4 linked regions of the Saccharomyces cerevisiae S288C genome follow. Each later gene encodes a partner of the first gene's protein in a complex. Links are inferred from orthologs where the notes say so. Each region holds a gene or a part of one and is shown in the gene's direction. Other genes may lie near its edges. The genes, in order: COG7, COG4, COG6 and COG5.

The links.
Region 2: COG7 (region 1) and COG4 share a complex: the UniProt entries of both Saccharomyces cerevisiae proteins name them as parts of the conserved oligomeric Golgi (COG or Sec34/Sec35) complex.
Region 3: COG7 (region 1) and COG6 share a complex: the UniProt entries of both Saccharomyces cerevisiae proteins name them as parts of the conserved oligomeric Golgi (COG or Sec34/Sec35) complex.
Region 4: the proteins of COG7 (region 1) and COG5 are in contact, whole or in part, in a crystal structure (PDB 4U6U), measured with the Kluyveromyces lactis proteins. The link is inferred for Saccharomyces cerevisiae S288C from one-to-one orthologs. Residues at the interface, in XP_451390.1 of Kluyveromyces lactis: Phe16, Phe17, Asp18, Asp19, Phe21, Pro23, Gln24, Phe26, Val27, Asp28, Leu30, Leu31, Ser32, Phe34, Gln35, Leu39, Glu40, Lys43, Cys46, Ser47, Leu49, Leu50, Met53, Asp54, Tyr56, Ser57, Ile60, Thr61, Glu63, Leu64; in XP_455247.1 of Kluyveromyces lactis: Ile107, Pro110, Phe111, Arg113, Ala114, Lys116, Leu117, Gln118, Val120, Ser121, Lys123, Ile124, Gln126, Thr127, Thr128, Leu130, Leu131, Arg132, Ser134, Leu135, Val138, His139, Ser142, Asn181, Thr184, Leu185, Gln186, Leu187, Ser190, Cys191.

The regions. Positions count from the first base shown.
Region 1 is NC_001139.9:489,144-492,431, reverse strand, and holds COG7 (Golgi transport complex subunit COG7), read left to right. Parts: upstream 1-1,884; coding exon 1,885-2,724; downstream 2,725-3,288. Other genes in the region: RPN14 (Rpn14p), read left to right, coding at 476-1,729; calcium-transporting ATPase PMC1, read right to left, coding at 2,990-3,288. UniProt on the Saccharomyces cerevisiae protein: Acts as a component of the peripheral membrane COG complex that is involved in intra-Golgi protein trafficking.
Region 2 is NC_001148.4:736,453-741,548, reverse strand, and holds COG4 (Golgi transport complex subunit COG4), read left to right. Parts: upstream 1-1,979; coding exon 1,980-4,565; downstream 4,566-5,096. Other genes in the region: cleavage polyadenylation factor RNA-binding subunit YTH1, read left to right, coding at 1-111; putative protein kinase ISR1, read right to left, coding at 157-1,488. UniProt on the Saccharomyces cerevisiae protein: Acts as essential component of the peripheral membrane COG complex that is involved in intra-Golgi protein trafficking.
Region 3 is NC_001146.8:548,904-553,720, reverse strand, and holds COG6 (Golgi transport complex subunit COG6), read left to right. Parts: upstream 1-1,733; coding exon 1,734-4,253; downstream 4,254-4,817. Other genes in the region: YNL040W (putative alanine--tRNA ligase), read right to left, coding at 1-341; YNL040C-A (uncharacterized protein), read left to right, coding at 1,163-1,243; BOP3 (Bop3p), read right to left, coding at 4,431-4,817. UniProt on the Saccharomyces cerevisiae protein: Acts as a component of the peripheral membrane COG complex that is involved in intra-Golgi protein trafficking.
Region 4 is NC_001146.8:530,710-534,404, forward strand, and holds COG5 (Golgi transport complex subunit COG5), read left to right. Parts: upstream 1-1,949; coding exon 1,950-3,161; downstream 3,162-3,695. Other genes in the region: tyrosine/serine/threonine protein phosphatase MSG5, read left to right, coding at 1-702; COX5A (cytochrome c oxidase subunit Va), read left to right, coding at 1,016-1,477; YNL050C (uncharacterized protein), read right to left, coding at 3,370-3,695. UniProt on the Saccharomyces cerevisiae protein: Acts as a component of the peripheral membrane COG complex that is involved in intra-Golgi protein trafficking.

The DNA.
Region 1 (3,288 bases):
AAAAAAAAGTGTACTAGTATATCTGATGGTGTTGTTGCGAATGCCCAGTAGTTCATATAGTTCTACTTACACCTCACTCATCTAACAAGGTCGGTTGATTAGTTCAATTGTTTCAGTGAGAAGATTTTAACGATAACACTTATGTACTAAGGTAACGTACCTACCAAGCATACAAAATACGTAACAATATAAAAAGAGACGGTTAATAAGTTCCGTTAAAATTTCGTCATCCAGTTATTAGAAAACTGGATGGAACCTTTTTCTTGCACATTAAAAATGGCATTTGTCCTTGTCAGGATTTGGGAATAAGGCTCAGTTAACCTTATTAACTTTTGTGATGTTTTTAACATGACATATTACAGGCGTCAGGATGGGCGAATAATCTAGAAATCGGCAAAAGAAGCTTCGAAAAATTAAGTTTTCAACCCTAAGAGCAGAAAGTAAAAAGAAATAGCGAAGTACAATAGAAACGACAATGACTAAGACCATCACAGTTGCTCATATCCAGTATGATTTTAAAGCTGTTCTGGAAGAAAATGATGAAAATGACGATGAATTTTACATCAATGTTGACAAAAACCTAAATGAAATCAAGGAGCATAAGATAGTAGTGTTAGGAAATAGCAGGGGTGTAGATGCAGGCAAAGGAAATACATTTGAAAAGGTTGGCTCCCACTTATACAAGGCGCGGTTGGATGGACATGATTTTTTATTCAATACTATCATAAGAGATGGTTCAAAGATGCTCAAGAGGGCGGATTATACTGCCGTAGACACAGCTAAACTTCAGATGAGACGGTTCATATTAGGCACTACAGAAGGCGATATTAAAGTATTGGATTCAAATTTCAACCTTCAAAGAGAAATTGACCAAGCTCACGTTAGTGAAATAACAAAACTAAAGTTTTTTCCAAGCGGTGAAGCTTTGATATCTAGTTCACAGGATATGCAATTAAAGATCTGGTCAGTAAAAGACGGCTCAAATCCTCGCACGTTAATTGGACACAGGGCGACAGTCACAGATATTGCCATAATAGACCGAGGAAGGAATGTGCTCTCTGCCTCTTTGGATGGTACAATTCGCCTTTGGGAGTGCGGCACAGGAACGACAATTCACACGTTTAACAGAAAAGAAAACCCGCATGATGGTGTTAACAGCATAGCGCTGTTCGTAGGGACAGACAGACAATTACATGAAATTTCTACTTCCAAGAAAAATAATCTAGAGTTTGGAACATATGGAAAATATGTGATTGCTGGTCACGTTTCTGGTGTTATTACTGTACATAATGTATTTTCCAAAGAGCAAACTATTCAACTCCCAAGCAAGTTCACATGTTCATGTAATTCATTGACAGTCGATGGCAATAATGCAAACTATATTTATGCCGGATATGAAAATGGAATGCTAGCTCAATGGGATCTAAGATCACCGGAATGCCCAGTTGGTGAGTTTTTAATTAATGAAGGCACCCCAATAAACAATGTCTACTTTGCAGCCGGAGCCTTATTTGTATCTTCTGGATTCGACACCAGTATTAAGCTTGACATTATTTCAGACCCAGAAAGTGAACGGCCCGCTATTGAATTTGAGACGCCCACCTTTTTAGTTTCCAATGACGATGAGGTCAGCCAATTCTGTTACGTTTCTGATGATGAATCAAATGGGGAGGTGCTTGAAGTTGGAAAAAACAACTTCTGCGCTTTGTATAACTTAAGTAATCCTTAACCTCTTTCGTACTAGTAACTTTTTCAAAAAAGTTCACTTCGCTGCATGAGCTTGGCGTAATGCGCTTTGAGGGTGATAATGCATTTTATTTCCATATGAAATATGTCTAAAATAGAACAATTCACTAAGAACAAGAAGGCCAAACTAAGCAGAATATGGTAGAGTTGACAATTACGGGTGATGATGATGATATATTGAGTATGTTTTTTGATGAGGAGTTCGTTCCCCATGCATTCGTTGATATACTCTTATCAAATGCCTTAAACGAAGATCAGATTCAAACGCAATCAGTATCCTCATTGCTATTAACCAGGTTGGATTTTTACACAAAGAACCTTACAAAAGAGTTGGAAAGCACCATATGGAATTTGGATAAATTATCTCAAACGTTACCAAGAACTTGGGCATCTTCTAGGTATCACAAAGAAGCAGAACAGAACGATTCCTCATTGTATTCTACTGAATCCTTAAAATCATCGAAGCTTGAATATTACTTAGATACGTTGGCAAGTGCTGTAAGAGCATTAGAAACAGGAATGCATAATGTAACTGAGAAACTAAGCGATCTAGATAACGAAAATAATCGCAATACCAATGTGAGGCAACAACTGCAAAGTTTAATGTTGATTAAGGAGAGAATTGAAAAAGTGGTATATTACCTGGAACAAGTTAGGACCGTTACGAATATTTCGACAGTTAGAGAAAATAATACAACCAGCACGGGGACAGATCTTTCGATAACAGATTTTAGAACATCATTGAAAGCATTAGAGGATACAATCGATGAATCTTTAAGCTCTGCGATTGATAACGAGGCTAAAGATGAAACAAACAAGGATTTGATTGGGAGAATTGATTCACTTTCTGAACTGAAATGTCTGTTTAAAGGCCTAGATAAGTTCTTTGCTGAGTATAGCAACTTTTCGGAGAGCATAAAATCAAAAGCACAAAGTTATTTATCAACCAAGAATATTGACGATGGTATGATATCATAATCGGTGATAAAAACAAAAAATTTGCAATTAACAAAAGAAATTTATAGCATGTTTAAATTCTTATTTCTTTTTACCATTTCCAGTCCTTTTGGTCCACTTGTAATGCATAAAAGGGTAAAAAGGAATTTGTTTAGGAGGACATGCTATTTCAGATAGTTTCTTTTTATTGATTATATAATATAGTGTACAATTTTGAAAATATAACTATTACACACATCTTTTCATTTGGTCACTTACATTTGTATAAACATATAGAGCGCGTCTATTAATAAAAGGCGGTGGACTCTGGACTATCAGATTCCTCCAACAGCGCTTCTTCATCGTCGTGTTTTCCAGTATGGTTTTTTCTGAGGAACTCGAGTCCAAATACGTACTTGAATCTTTGAACGAAAGCAGCCGGAAATACCTTCACTGCTACTTCATCGGGGCAGATTCTCACTAGCACCCCCATGATTAGAGACAACATACCACACAGTACCGCGGTTATCCACATTGATTTGGTTTGTCTGGCAATAGAAAATGGTGCGCCACCAAAAAACATGATTAAAACTTGACAGCTGCCAA
Region 2 (5,096 bases), on another chromosome or scaffold:
CCAGATGAAGGTAGTAAATTAAGAATTAAGAGAGACGATGAGATAAATACCAGGAAAATGGATGAAGAAAAGGAAAGGCGTTTAAACGCAATTATAAACGGTGAAGTTTGATCTATGCATGGCTGGGGGTTTTCGATTTCATAGACATGTATATTATCATATATAGTTACTATCGAGTATAGTTATGAGATTTTCTAGAGGAAGTCTATCAACCAGAATTCTGGACAATAATGCTAGTTCTGACTTCCAATCCTGGAATAAATCGTTTCTTAACATGTTTAGATTTATAGGATCTTTTTTCAAAAGAGCATTTATCAGCCATTGGGACTGCTGTATAGATGAACTGCCAATACCTGGAGAGGATCCATGCGACACTAACGCCTGAAGTTCGTTGTAAGGCTCATGCTGCGATATAAATGATAAAAGACAAAGCCCCACGGCATACAAATCCGATTCAAATGTAGGAACATGATCGGAGGAGCTATCAATTAGTTCTGGTGCACAGTATTCTACCGTGGTATTCAGATCTGTTGGTGTTTGATTAATGTGAAATGCCGACGTAAAGTCAGCAAGGTAGAAGTCAAAATCCTTACAATGGCCTCCATTAAGAACATGCATTTCTGTTATTAAAATATTTGCTGTTTTTATATCACCATGAATTATACCATTTGTTTTCAAAGATTTTAATGCGTCTATCATTTGCTTCATAAGTCTCCACCATATTTTTCTTTTTGTTATCAACGAAAGCTTATGTGACACTGCTGTATTGAAGTGATATAAACTCATTTCGCATTTCGGAAGAATAAGGCCAGGAACACATTCGTTGGACCTCAGTCTTCTAAAATGGGATTTAGTTATGTATGTCAACCCATAGAATGGAATAATATGACTTTCATTGGTTGAAGGACTCATGTACTGGAGATATGCTAGCGTCAAAGCTTCCTGTAAAATCACCTTGCTTTTATGCTGTGATTTGGCAAACTTTAAAACAACCCCTGAATCGTTGTTACATCTTGATGAAGCACTTGATGATATAGGGTACACATATGAATAACTTCCCTGTCCCACTAATTTGTTAGACGGAAGAGAATAACTTGGATTTGACAAAAAATCCATCTCTGGAGCAAGTAATATGCCCATCAAAAACTCATCCAGAAATTCTAGGGAAGAAACTGTATTAGAAAGACGGAACATTAAAGCCAAATTCTCCGGAGAGTAAAACCGGGGGGTAGTGAACAATACGTCTAAATCGTTCTTTAGGTGCGCCTCCGAGGTAGCAACGGGCGCCTTACTAGAATAATCTGTCTGGAATGCCTCACTGAATTTAGCTGTCGGCTCCTCTACAGGAGATACCAGATGTGAATATGCGAAGTTACTTTTATGTTTTTGCGGTTGGCGATAAGCAAAACCCTTACTATTGTTACTTATGGATGGAAAGGAACCATCAGAAACCCTGGTGACGGGTGACGTAGGAGGTGTACTGTTCATAGCGTGACGTTTGAGAACTAGTCTTTGAGATGTGTTTTAAGACGATTTTTGCTGTTGATGAGGTTAGATCCCCGTTATATAAAGGCAAGAATCTATTAGCAGCGCTTTTTGTTTATTCAATGCTAGTCAAAATAAACAATAAGATAGACCCATACATCACAATCTAGCTGGTTTGCGATCATGTTGATTGACACATTATATCCTTGCTAGGGAACATAAATTTTCGTCATAGGCTATACAAGCAGCTGAGATATAGTGAAGGAGGTAAGCAACTTTTGAAACACATTTACGATCTTCTAACCTTATTAACTTGTTGCTTTAGCTTTTAGAACTCCATTTACGTCACTTTTTTGAATTTTCGCCTGTAAAGGAATTGTGAAAAAAGTGTGGGATAGAGATAGAACATAGAAAACAAACCAAATTCGTTGGGACAGCGAAGTAGCGCAAACTAACGATACTGTATTGTCAGGCTCTAAAAGGGTGAAGTTTTGATGGAAGGGCAAAAATCGAATGCATCATGGGAGAGCTCGATCATCGAGGGCCAATTGTCTAAAAATCTAGCAAGGTACACCTTGTTATTAGACAAATTATCGACACTATCTCAAATAGACAAGCTGTCTGAAGTGATAGCCAATGATTACGCAAAACAATCTAAACAATTAAATGCATTTGTGCAACAGTCGCAATCATCGCTCAACAAAGAGTCCCGGAAATTAGAATTGCAAAGAACTAACCTTACGACTACTTTGACTCAGTTTCATGAGACTGTGGCCACCATTTCTTCTTCGAACGCAAGAGCAAAAGCTATACATGACGATATTGAAACTGTAGATCAGGAACGCGCTTTGGTCAACAAAACGTTACAATTTGTAAAAGACGTCAGGACGCTAAAGAATAATATTTCACTGGCGCATTCTGCTTTAGAAACAAAGGATTACTTAGTTGCTGCGACAGCAATCAATGAAATTAGAAGCCTTCCGGATAAAAAACTTATTGTATCCGAGTTTGCCAAGAAAGTTGTGCCCTCGAGTGAAATTCCCGAAGAACCAGCTATACTAATAAAGAATTGGTGTAAGGAACTGACAAGTTTATTTCAGGAGCAATTCATGGAAGCAACAAGAACACAGGATATTAAAGAGCTAACCTTAATGTTCAAAATGTTCCCTATGATTGGGCAGGACGTACTTGGTTTAGACCTGTATTCCAAATATGTCTGTGATATTATTGCGGACGAAAGCAGGAAAATTATGTCGAATTCTATGGAAAACAGCACCAAGTTTCAAGGATTTTTTTCACAAGTACTGTTACATCTTTTTAAAATTGTATCGACCATTATAAATGATCATTCAAAAGTCATCGCCACGTGTTATGGAAAAAAGCACATGGTGCATGTCATGGAAAAAGTAGAAAAAGAAGCTGATCTTCAAGCTAGTTTGATTCTAGATATTTTTATGGAGACGAGGAAAATAGAAAGGACTATACATGATATAAATGAATGGGAACATTCACAAAAGAATGAAGATGTGAATATAGACAGTAATCAGTCGGATATCGAAACAGACGGAGAAACGGAAAAGAGCTCAATTATATCCATTCATGACTTGGCATTATTGATAATGGAATTTTCTCAAATACTTCAAAATTGGTCCATGTATTCTAGATTTTATTCAGTTAAATGGAATGAATTTAGCGATTTGCATCCGCATGTATTGCAACCACCTCCACCAATAGCAGATGGTAAATTTGCCTTAAAGTTAAAGCAAGATAAGGTCTTTGATGAGTTTCAGGTGTTTGTGTTGAACCATCTGCAGAGATCATTTAGAAATAGTATTTCACTAGAAGAATTACCGTCACTGAACGATCTTATAACTGCTGTTCCCCTCAATGACCACGATAACATTTCATACCCTGTAACATCTGTTTTAGATGACTTAATTTTATTAGTTCGGAAAAATCTGATATCAGTGGTTAATACTGGCCAGTTTAAGCTCTTAGCAAGTTTTTTGAACGAGTTGGTAAAATTTTTTCAGAACCGATTTCTGGTAAAATTTATGCAAAACAAATTTAAGTTACTACAATCGAAACTAGCCTCCAATGTATCTTTGAAAAGATACATTCCAAAAGGTGAGGAGCAATCTGCAACATCAAGATCGGTTTCTCCACCTGCAAATAAGTTTTCTCCGCTAAGCAGGTTCACTTTTAGAGGGGCAGCAGCTAGCGCTTTGACAAATATTCAATCAAATTTACAAGCCGTAGTTGCAGAGGACGAGGATTCCATTCTTGCGTTGCACCATTATTTGATATATCTGAACACGTTGTACTTGAGTAAAGTATACGTTCACAGGCTGTTATCCATAGAAATATTAGAAGACGATTCGCAAAGGATTTTGAGAGACAATTTCCCTTTTGACAATGATGCAGCGCAGTTACAGAATTTAATTATAAACTCAGAAAAATTAGTCCTGGAACAAACAGATAAGCTAAGCAAATGGGCTGTCAAATACTTGTTCCAAAATATCCTACAAAATAGGGTTCGGAACTTATTGGGAACTGTTTTTGTTAATTCAGCCTCATCAAATTCCTCAACGTCCAATCAAAAAAATGTGTCTCGCGATTATTCTGCAGGTTCGAACCAAAAGAATTACATCACAAGCATAGAAGATTTCGAAGATTTGTCGCAAATTAACAGTTTCAATAGCAAATGGAACCAATTGATTATCCCTTACAAAAATATTCTTCACAACGAAGCATATGCAGAGTTGCTATCTGTCATAGTCGACTACATCGTAACAACATTGGAGCAAAGAATATGGACTCTAGAATTCAATGAACTTGGTGTTACGAAATTAGATAGAGAACTGAGCCTTTTCATCGGCAATATGTGTGGCTTGAACTATAATCTCAGAGAGAAGTTCTTGAAATTGACACAAATCGTGTTGCTTCTCGGTTTAGATGATGACAATTTTGATTTGACTACAGGTGATATCAAGGATGACTTCAATGGTACTTTCGATTGGGTGATAAACTCTCAGGAAAGAATTAAAGCTAGAAATATGAAGATTGATAGAACACAGTAAATATAACATAAGCTTTACGAGCTGAATACTAAGTAGTTTCATATAAACGCAAACATAATCTTGGCTGTTGTACCTTTTCTGCATACTCTTGACTGTTAATACATTTCTTATTTTTCTTATGAAAGAGCACAACATGATAGCGCCATACTATCATTCTGAACGTTGCGATTAACTGGAAATTACGAAGACTAAGACAAGAAAAATTAAAAGCGTTAATAAAAAATAAACAAAGGAACCTTTGAAATATATTCCGTCACCAAGCTAAGAAAGGAGTAGCTCTTTCTCTAAGGCCAACTTTGTCATCCTTTGAGTTAGTTTAAAGTCTATTAATATTTGCTATTATCTTCTGGGCTGGATAAATAGGACTTTTCTATTGGCACATTTTTTTCTCTTGTAGAAGGTCATCACGAATATTAATTTTGTATTTGAAAGCATTTTATTTTCTCCTTTTTTTATTACCATAATATACCTGGTACTGGTTTTTACCTGATTTAACGTCTAGCCGCTCAAAACAAAAACCCACTCATATCT
Region 3 (4,817 bases), on another chromosome or scaffold:
TCCACGGCCACTTCCACTGTTGTTCCGGGCTCAATGTAGTCATTGACATGATGCTTTGCATGTAAACCGAAACGAGAAACGTGTGAAACTAATATCTTCTCAATTTTCGACGAATTACGATTCCCTTCAACAATTTTCAAAAAACCAGAATCACTTGGTTGGCCCCCACCTTCGGGGAACAGAATAGTATCTTGTAGTTCAATCTCATAACCTTCAATCTCTCCCTTTTTATTCTTCGTTGGTTCGCAAGAAACAACCAGTGTTTTGAACCCATCGAAGAGAAATGAGTTCCTCTGGCAGGCTAAAGCGCCGACCTTGACAGGCGTCATAGGTGTGGGCATGATAACTTACCTTTTAATCAATTTTTGACGCTGTTGTGTGCTTTCGTCGATATGCGTCACCAGGATGTCTATTCTTAAGTTTTTTTTACACGATAAGGATAAAAAATAAAAAGATGTTAATGATGGGTGGTTGGTTCTTTTACTAATGAAAAGTGTAAGCATATTTCGTACAAATTGCTTGCAATAAGTCACTTGTACAAAAGTAAACTGATATAAACGTCTTCCTAGTGGGCTGAATTTCAGAATTTACGCGAGTGATACATGAATTTACTGATAATCGATGGTATTCGTTATTTGATAAGGTGGTATTATTGAATATACAGAATGCATTATATGCGCTCATTGAGGATATAATAGTCATGACAGGAAATCAATGTCCTACGTAATAACACTATTATTTCTTCCTTTGCATTGCACGTTGTTATGCATTACTCTGTTACATCATCAGTTCTTGTATTTCGGCTTTTACTAGATTTGAGATTGTATCTCATGGCTTATGTCACTTTCTTACATTGTGTGTGATAGGTATACTAGTAACATGGCCACTAGTCAATAAGCAACGGTCAATTCTTATTCCAGCAGTTCTTAATATGCATGGAATTAGTGAAGAATAGGAGCCGATAACTTTACTTGTGCATTTGTATTAAATTTACGTCCTTCTTATTTATTTCGTCCACGTACGTTACTACCCTTTTTCCAGTAATTTTTCTTTAACTTGAAATGGTCTTGTAACTCCTATTACATTCCGGTGCCATATCAAGAGTAGCCTGGTAATATAGAAAAATTCCAGTAGCTTAACAAGAGCCTATTTTTAATCAAAAATGCCGGAGCAAAAAGCCAACTGTTCACCAAACGGTAACATAACAGTTGATAGTATGATTATGTCGCTAGGATCTTCTTAAAGGATAACACGAATTACGAAACCAATAGAGGGATATTAGAAGGATCAGCTGAAACCTAAAGATCAATAATATAACAGGATTATAAGTGACAACATATAGTATTAAAGAAACAAACCGCTATATGATTGCATGTATTACCACCTCTCTTTTGTTGATACGCATATCCCTGAGGAAAACTCTCAGCACATTCCATATACGAGGGAAAAATTGGATTTCAAAAACTGGTATCTAATCCTACCGATGCGTATGTTAGTCGAAATCTATAAGTAAATTGTTAATGATTGCTTTCTGTTCGTTTATACTTCCATTTTACTTATATATCACCTGCCGTCTCAGACGACAAAATACATACAACTGGCGTAATGACGCTTTCATACAAAATATACATCTAAGGTAGTAATTCATTCTAGTAAATATTCATCCGAAAGCTGTAGTATCTGAAGTATATTGTACATTATCGTAACAAAATCCCCAGTGAAGTTTACTCACAATGGATTTCGTTGTAGACTATCAGACCTACGCAATGGCGGATACTGCCACGCCAGAATTACCAGAACCTGAGCCAAGACTAAACTTAACCTCAGATGCACAGTCACAGCCCACCGGTAAACTAGATCTACAGTTTAAGTTGCCCGACCTTCAACGTTATTCCAATAATAATGCAACTTTGCCAGTAGATAATGATGGTGCTGGTTCGAAAGACCTACATAAGAAAATGACACATTACGCAATGTCTTCCATTGATAAAATACAGCTTTCAAATCCAAGCAAACAATTAGGGCAAAATTCCCAGGATGAAAAACTATCGCAGCAAGAATCTCAAAATTTCACGAATTACGAGCCAAAAAACCTTGATTTATCAAAATTAGTATCCCCGTCAAGTGGTTCCAACAAAAATACCACAAATTTGGTTCTTTCGAATAAACTATCCAAGATATTGAACAATTACACATTGATTAACTATCAGGCCACAGTCCAACTAAGAAAATCCCTAAAGGTTCTAGAAGAGAATAAAGAGAGATTGTCCCTTGATGAACAAAAGCTCATGAATCCTGAATATGTAGGTACTTTGGCAAGAAGAGCATTGAGGACTGATTTGGAATCTCAACTGCTAAAGGAACATATTACGGTACTTGAGGAATTCAAACCTATCATTAGAAGGATTAAACGATTATCTTCTTCCGTCGAAAAAATACAAAGAACGAGCGAAAAATTACTAAGTAATGAGACAAATGAGGTTCCAACAAATAACGTGGTACTTCAGGAAATAGATCAATACCGTTTAAAGGCAGAGCAGTTGAAGCTGAAAAAAAAAATACTGTTATCTATAAGGGATAGGTTTACTTTGAATCAGGTAGAGGACGATGTAATCACCAATGGTACTATAGACAACATCTTTTTCGAGGTAGTAAAGAAAGTAATCAATATTAAAGATGAATCAAGTTTCTTGCTGACGCTTCCTAATTTGAATGCTGGAAATGCTTTGATAATGGGAGTTAATGAAATTTTAGAAAAGACAAACAAAAAAATCTTCAATTATTTGATCGATTTTTTATATAGTTTTGAATCCTCTTCAAATTTATTAAATGACCATGGTACTACTGAACAAGAAAGCTTAAACATTTTTCGGAAGAGTCTGGTCTTCCTGTCAAGTGATCTAGAATTATTTAATGAGTTGTTGAAAAGAGTGACCACACTGAGATCCAAGAGTATTCTGGATGAGTTTTTGTCTCAATTCGATATGAATTCAACTACCTCTAAACCCATCATATTATCGGCACACGATCCAATTAGGTATATTGGTGACGTACTAGCGTCCGTTCATTCCATCATCGCAAATGAAGCTGATTTCGTGAAGTCACTATTTGACTTTCAGGATGAAGACTTAAAAGATACCCCAATTTCTATACTTCAACAAAACAAGACATTCTTGAAAGGCATCGACAACAAATTGCTGAACGATATCATCCAGTCGCTATCCAATTCGTGTCGTATTCGTATCGAGCAAATCGTGAGGTTTGAAGAAAATCCGATCATCAATTTCGAGATTGTGAGGCTGCTGAAACTTTACAGAGTTATGTTCGAGAGAAAGGGAATTCAGGACGATAGTTCTATTATTAACAATTTAAAGTCGTTGGAAGACATTTCCAAAAACAGAATTATTGGATACTATGAAGACTATATGAAGCAAACAGTCATGGCGGAAACAAAAAATTCTTCAGATGATTTACTGCCACCAGAGTGGCTATCAGAGTATATGAATAAATTGGTAGAGTTATTTGAAATTTATGAAAAGACACATGCTGCCGAAGATGAGGAATCAGAAGATAATAAATTGCTCTCATCTAAGAATTTACAAACAATTGTAGAACAACCAATAAAAGATGTTCTGTTAAAACAATTGCAAACATCTTTTCCTTTGGCGAAAAAAAATGAAAAAGAAAAGGCATCATTGCTAACTATAGAGATAAACTGTTTCGATTTAATTAAATCTAGACTTCAACCTTTTGAGGGATTGTTTGCACAAGATGATGACAGCCGGAAAATCACCATCTGGGTTTGTGATAAACTGAAGGAATATACTAAGCAAATGCTAACTTTACAAATAAAATTCCTATTTGAGAATACAGGTTTAGACCTTTACAGCAATTTGGTCAATATGATTTTTCCTGTGGACTCAGTAAAGGATGAATTGGATTATGATATGTACTTAGCCCTGAGGGATAATTCATTGATGGAATTAGACATGGTCAGAAAAAATGTGCATGATAAGTTGAACTATTATCTACCTCAGGCGTTAACAGATGTTCAAGGTAATTTACTATTTAAATTAACGTCACCAATGATAGCTGATGAAATATGCGATGAATGTTTCAAGAAGTTGTCGCTATTTTATAATATCTTCAGGAAACTGTTGATTCATTTGTATCCGAACAAGAAGGATCAGGTATTCGAAATTTTAAATTTTTCCACTGATGAATTTGACATGTTGATAGGTATTGATCACTGAGAGATGAACAACTTCTGTTTAAAATCGTCTCACAAAGACGCATCTTGCCCATAATGTAGCGATGCTCTATATCTCAAATATTTGTTACCTTTTTTATGTTGGTATGCGGCGGGTATCTATATAATATATGGGTGTATACATACGTAGGGGGAACATCAAAAAGAAAATAATGATCACTCAAGTACTATTTAAAATCTTGCCTACAGAATTATCCTTTGTGATGGTTCTTACGGGGCTTTCGTTTCTACTACTGCTTTCACTGCATGTTCTGTCATCCAAGTCATCGTGTACTTGACGTCCTTCACGAACCGATTGCAGCATATTTGGTTGTTCCTTCATATTGGATTCAATTGGTTTGTCATGTGAGGTAAGTGCTACGGACACGTTAGAATGTATAGGGGATGGTGATCTCTGTACTTGTTTTTCTTTTGCTTCATCGATAATACTTAAATCGATCACTCCAAAGGAGGATGTGGATCTTGCACGCCTATGCTTTTTTTGAACCATTCCAGGTTTCCTTGGTATAGTATGTAAATTGTGCGTGTGGAGATCCTGTTGCTGTTG
Region 4 (3,695 bases), on another chromosome or scaffold:
GATTTAGTCATTAATGTTGCCAAAGAAATACCGAACCTGGAGTTTTTAATACCGCCGGAAATGGCACATAAAATAAAATATTACCATATTGAATGGACACACACATCCAAGATCGTCAAGGACTTATCCCGATTGACACGCATTATACATACCGCTCATTCGCAAGGCAAGAAAATACTCGTACACTGTCAGTGTGGAGTATCAAGATCGGCGTCATTGATTGTGGCGTATATCATGCGATATTATGGCTTGAGTTTAAATGATGCATACAATAAGCTGAAAGGTGTTGCTAAGGATATAAGTCCAAACATGGGTCTCATCTTCCAACTTATGGAATGGGGAACCATGTTGTCCAAGAACTCACCGGGCGAAGAAGGAGAGACTGTTCACATGCCTGAGGAAGATGACATCGGAAACAACGAAGTTTCCTCGACTACGAAGTCCTACTCTTCTGCGTCCTTTAGAAGTTTTCCCATGGTAACGAATCTATCATCGTCGCCGAATGACAGTTCTGTCAATTCTTCGGAAGTAACGCCAAGAACTCCTGCTACGTTGACTGGAGCAAGGACCGCACTGGCCACAGAACGCGGGGAAGATGATGAGCACTGTAAAAGTTTGTCTCAACCCGCAGATTCACTGGAAGCTTCTGTGGACAACGAATCAATATCTACTGCCCCGGAACAGATGATGTTTCTTCCTTAAGGGACAGCATCTCCCAAAAGAATCTTTATGACTATCAGATCTGCAGGCAGACCGCCTCCCTACGCTTCTAAATAGAATGTACTTAGCACTTCTGCCTACATAGTAATTATTCATCATTGTAAGTGTCACATTGCAAAAATCGTCCAATAGACGTTTTCCTCGTTTGTGATTGGCCCTACGTTTTGCGCCGATACAAGCGGCGGCGAAAAGTTAAAAAGAACAATCAATTAAATAAGAACCATCAGTCCTCGTATTTTGTCTTCTGTTTGCAAGCAATGCACCAAACACAAGATCAACTAAGAACGCATCTACAATGTTACGTAACACTTTTACTAGAGCTGGTGGACTATCACGTATTACATCCGTAAGATTCGCTCAAACACATGCTCTTTCCAACGCTGCTGTAATGGATCTGCAATCCAGATGGGAGAACATGCCCTCCACTGAGCAGCAGGATATTGTCAGTAAGTTGAGTGAACGTCAAAAATTACCATGGGCACAGCTTACTGAGCCTGAAAAGCAAGCTGTGTGGTACATTTCTTACGGAGAATGGGGCCCAAGAAGACCTGTATTGAATAAGGGTGATTCCAGTTTTATTGCCAAAGGTGTTGCTGCAGGCCTACTATTTTCAGTGGGACTTTTTGCTGTCGTCAGGATGGCGGGTGGCCAAGACGCAAAGACCATGAATAAGGAGTGGCAGCTAAAGAGTGACGAATATTTGAAGTCGAAGAATGCTAATCCTTGGGGTGGTTATTCTCAGGTCCAATCTAAATGAACAGGCCAGAAATTTTGAAAGGAAATCAATAGGGGTTAACGATTGTCATGGTTTTTTCAGCTAGTCTGTGACCTGTACGAAAGTGAATATCTTATTACATTATAAGTGTATCCATGGGCATCCGCCCAATACAATGCCAACATATCAAACATAAAATTGGCTGATTGCCACTCTCACATTTTTTCTTTATTTATTTACTCAAATTTTGTAATTTTTTGTTAGACATATAATTTTATATCATTATTCTTATTATTCTTATATTTAAGGGAACCCCCCTGGAATGAAATAAGCTAATATAGTATGAGGGAATCCTGTATAAATGGGTTTACCTTGTTATTCTATGCCTCCCTTTCAAAGACGTATTTCTTAAAAACTTCTCCATTTGGTTGAATACTATGAAAAAAAAAAAATCAACTAGAATAGATATGGAAGATAAAAATGTGTAACAAAAAAGAAGAAAAGAGCTGGAGGTATGACAATAGCGCCAATGGCAAACGATTTAGAAGATTTTGAGTCTCTGCTGGAGCCTGATTTTGATGCTAAACAATTTGGTAATGACTTACTGAAGGCTACTAATAACAATGACACAACCATTTTAGACCTTAACACGCCTCTTAAAAAGCTAAACTATGATCTACATGAGATTGACTCTAGAATAGACCAATTGATGAATAGCAACCCATTGGAGATAATAGAGTTAATTTACAAAAATGAACACGTCAATTCAACCATAGTTGGTGAGTTGAAACCAAGTTTGGGATATATGAATATGTCGTACGATAGACTAAAGAATCAAGTTCTAGATCCTTATGAAAGAGCGAGGAAAGTCCAACTAGCGTTGAGTAAAGTTTACCAAACATCTTTTCTCTTGCGCGGAGCATTGCTTTATATTCATTTATCAAACAAATTAAACGCACTGTCTAAAACAGCCCAACTAAGCACATCAACAGCTATTAATTTAGCCTCCTTACACTACCAACTTGAAATTACTTTGGAAGAAAATAAAAATCTAAAATCCTTGCGGAAAATTAAACAATTAGATCAGGACATTGTTTCCCCCAACAAAAGAGAGTTAATAACATTTTTGTCTTTACAAATGTGTAAAGAGTGCTTGAACTCTATTAAAATCAAATCGAACAAAGAAATAATATCTCAGCTGGCCTACTCCTTATATCTACTTTCATCTCAAGAATTCGAGTCTGCAATAAACAAGATTGTACTATCTAATGTTACAATGAGCTCACAAATCCTATCAAAAATTTTAAATTCTATCAGGATGTTTCCTGATGCGTTCAATGAAGTTGTTGAAAAAGGTTATAACATCTACATTTTAGAAACACTACTACAGAACATCAAAACGGATAATGTTACGAATTCCTCGAGATCTATTGCTGCTAATAAATCACGCCTTGGCAATCTTTTATCAGAATATACCTCAATGAAGAGTAAAGCAGGTTCTGGTACACCGAGAGATCTGTTTTGGAGCAAAGTTTCATCTGCCTTCAAAAAGGACTTTGATATATCTGTTAATAGAGGAGGCCCTGTGGGCAAGTCGCTGTTAAAAAATAAAGATTTTATTATAAACACTATGAAGCAAAGTATGAAAAAATCTTCTGATAATAGTGATTACCAAAGCTACTTGGATGTAATGCTAAACTCAGTATCTATTTCTCTAAATAAGTGAGACAGTTTACATAAAATTAAGAATGTTGATGAAATAGGATGAATCTAAAGCAATTTTCAATAGCATGTGCATATGTTTAATAAAAATTACATGAAATGTAATATTTGTTTATATTATTAAAGATTATACTAGTAATAGTTATTATGAGAAATCCAATATCGGTTAGTTTATATGAAGTATTAATATGTATATATATACATTTACGTGGTCATTCTGTCCTAAACTTAGGGGTACTGCCAGCTTTTGCCAGTGGGTTCAAAGGTACCTTTTTTTTGTTTTTCTTTCCACCACGCTTATGAAACTTTTTCTTCAACTGTTTCTTTATCTCACGAGCTTTGGTATCACGCTCCTTGGTTCTTTCAAGTGCCAGTTTTTTGGCTGCACGTTGCTTTTGACCAGGTCTCCTCTTTTTAATCTTCAATTCCTTCTGCTGCTCTAACTCTATTCTCGCATTGTGCTTATACAGATCTATTATTCGACCCTGGCAATATGGCCATTTATCACGAATACGTAGATCATCCTCCAGAATTTTTG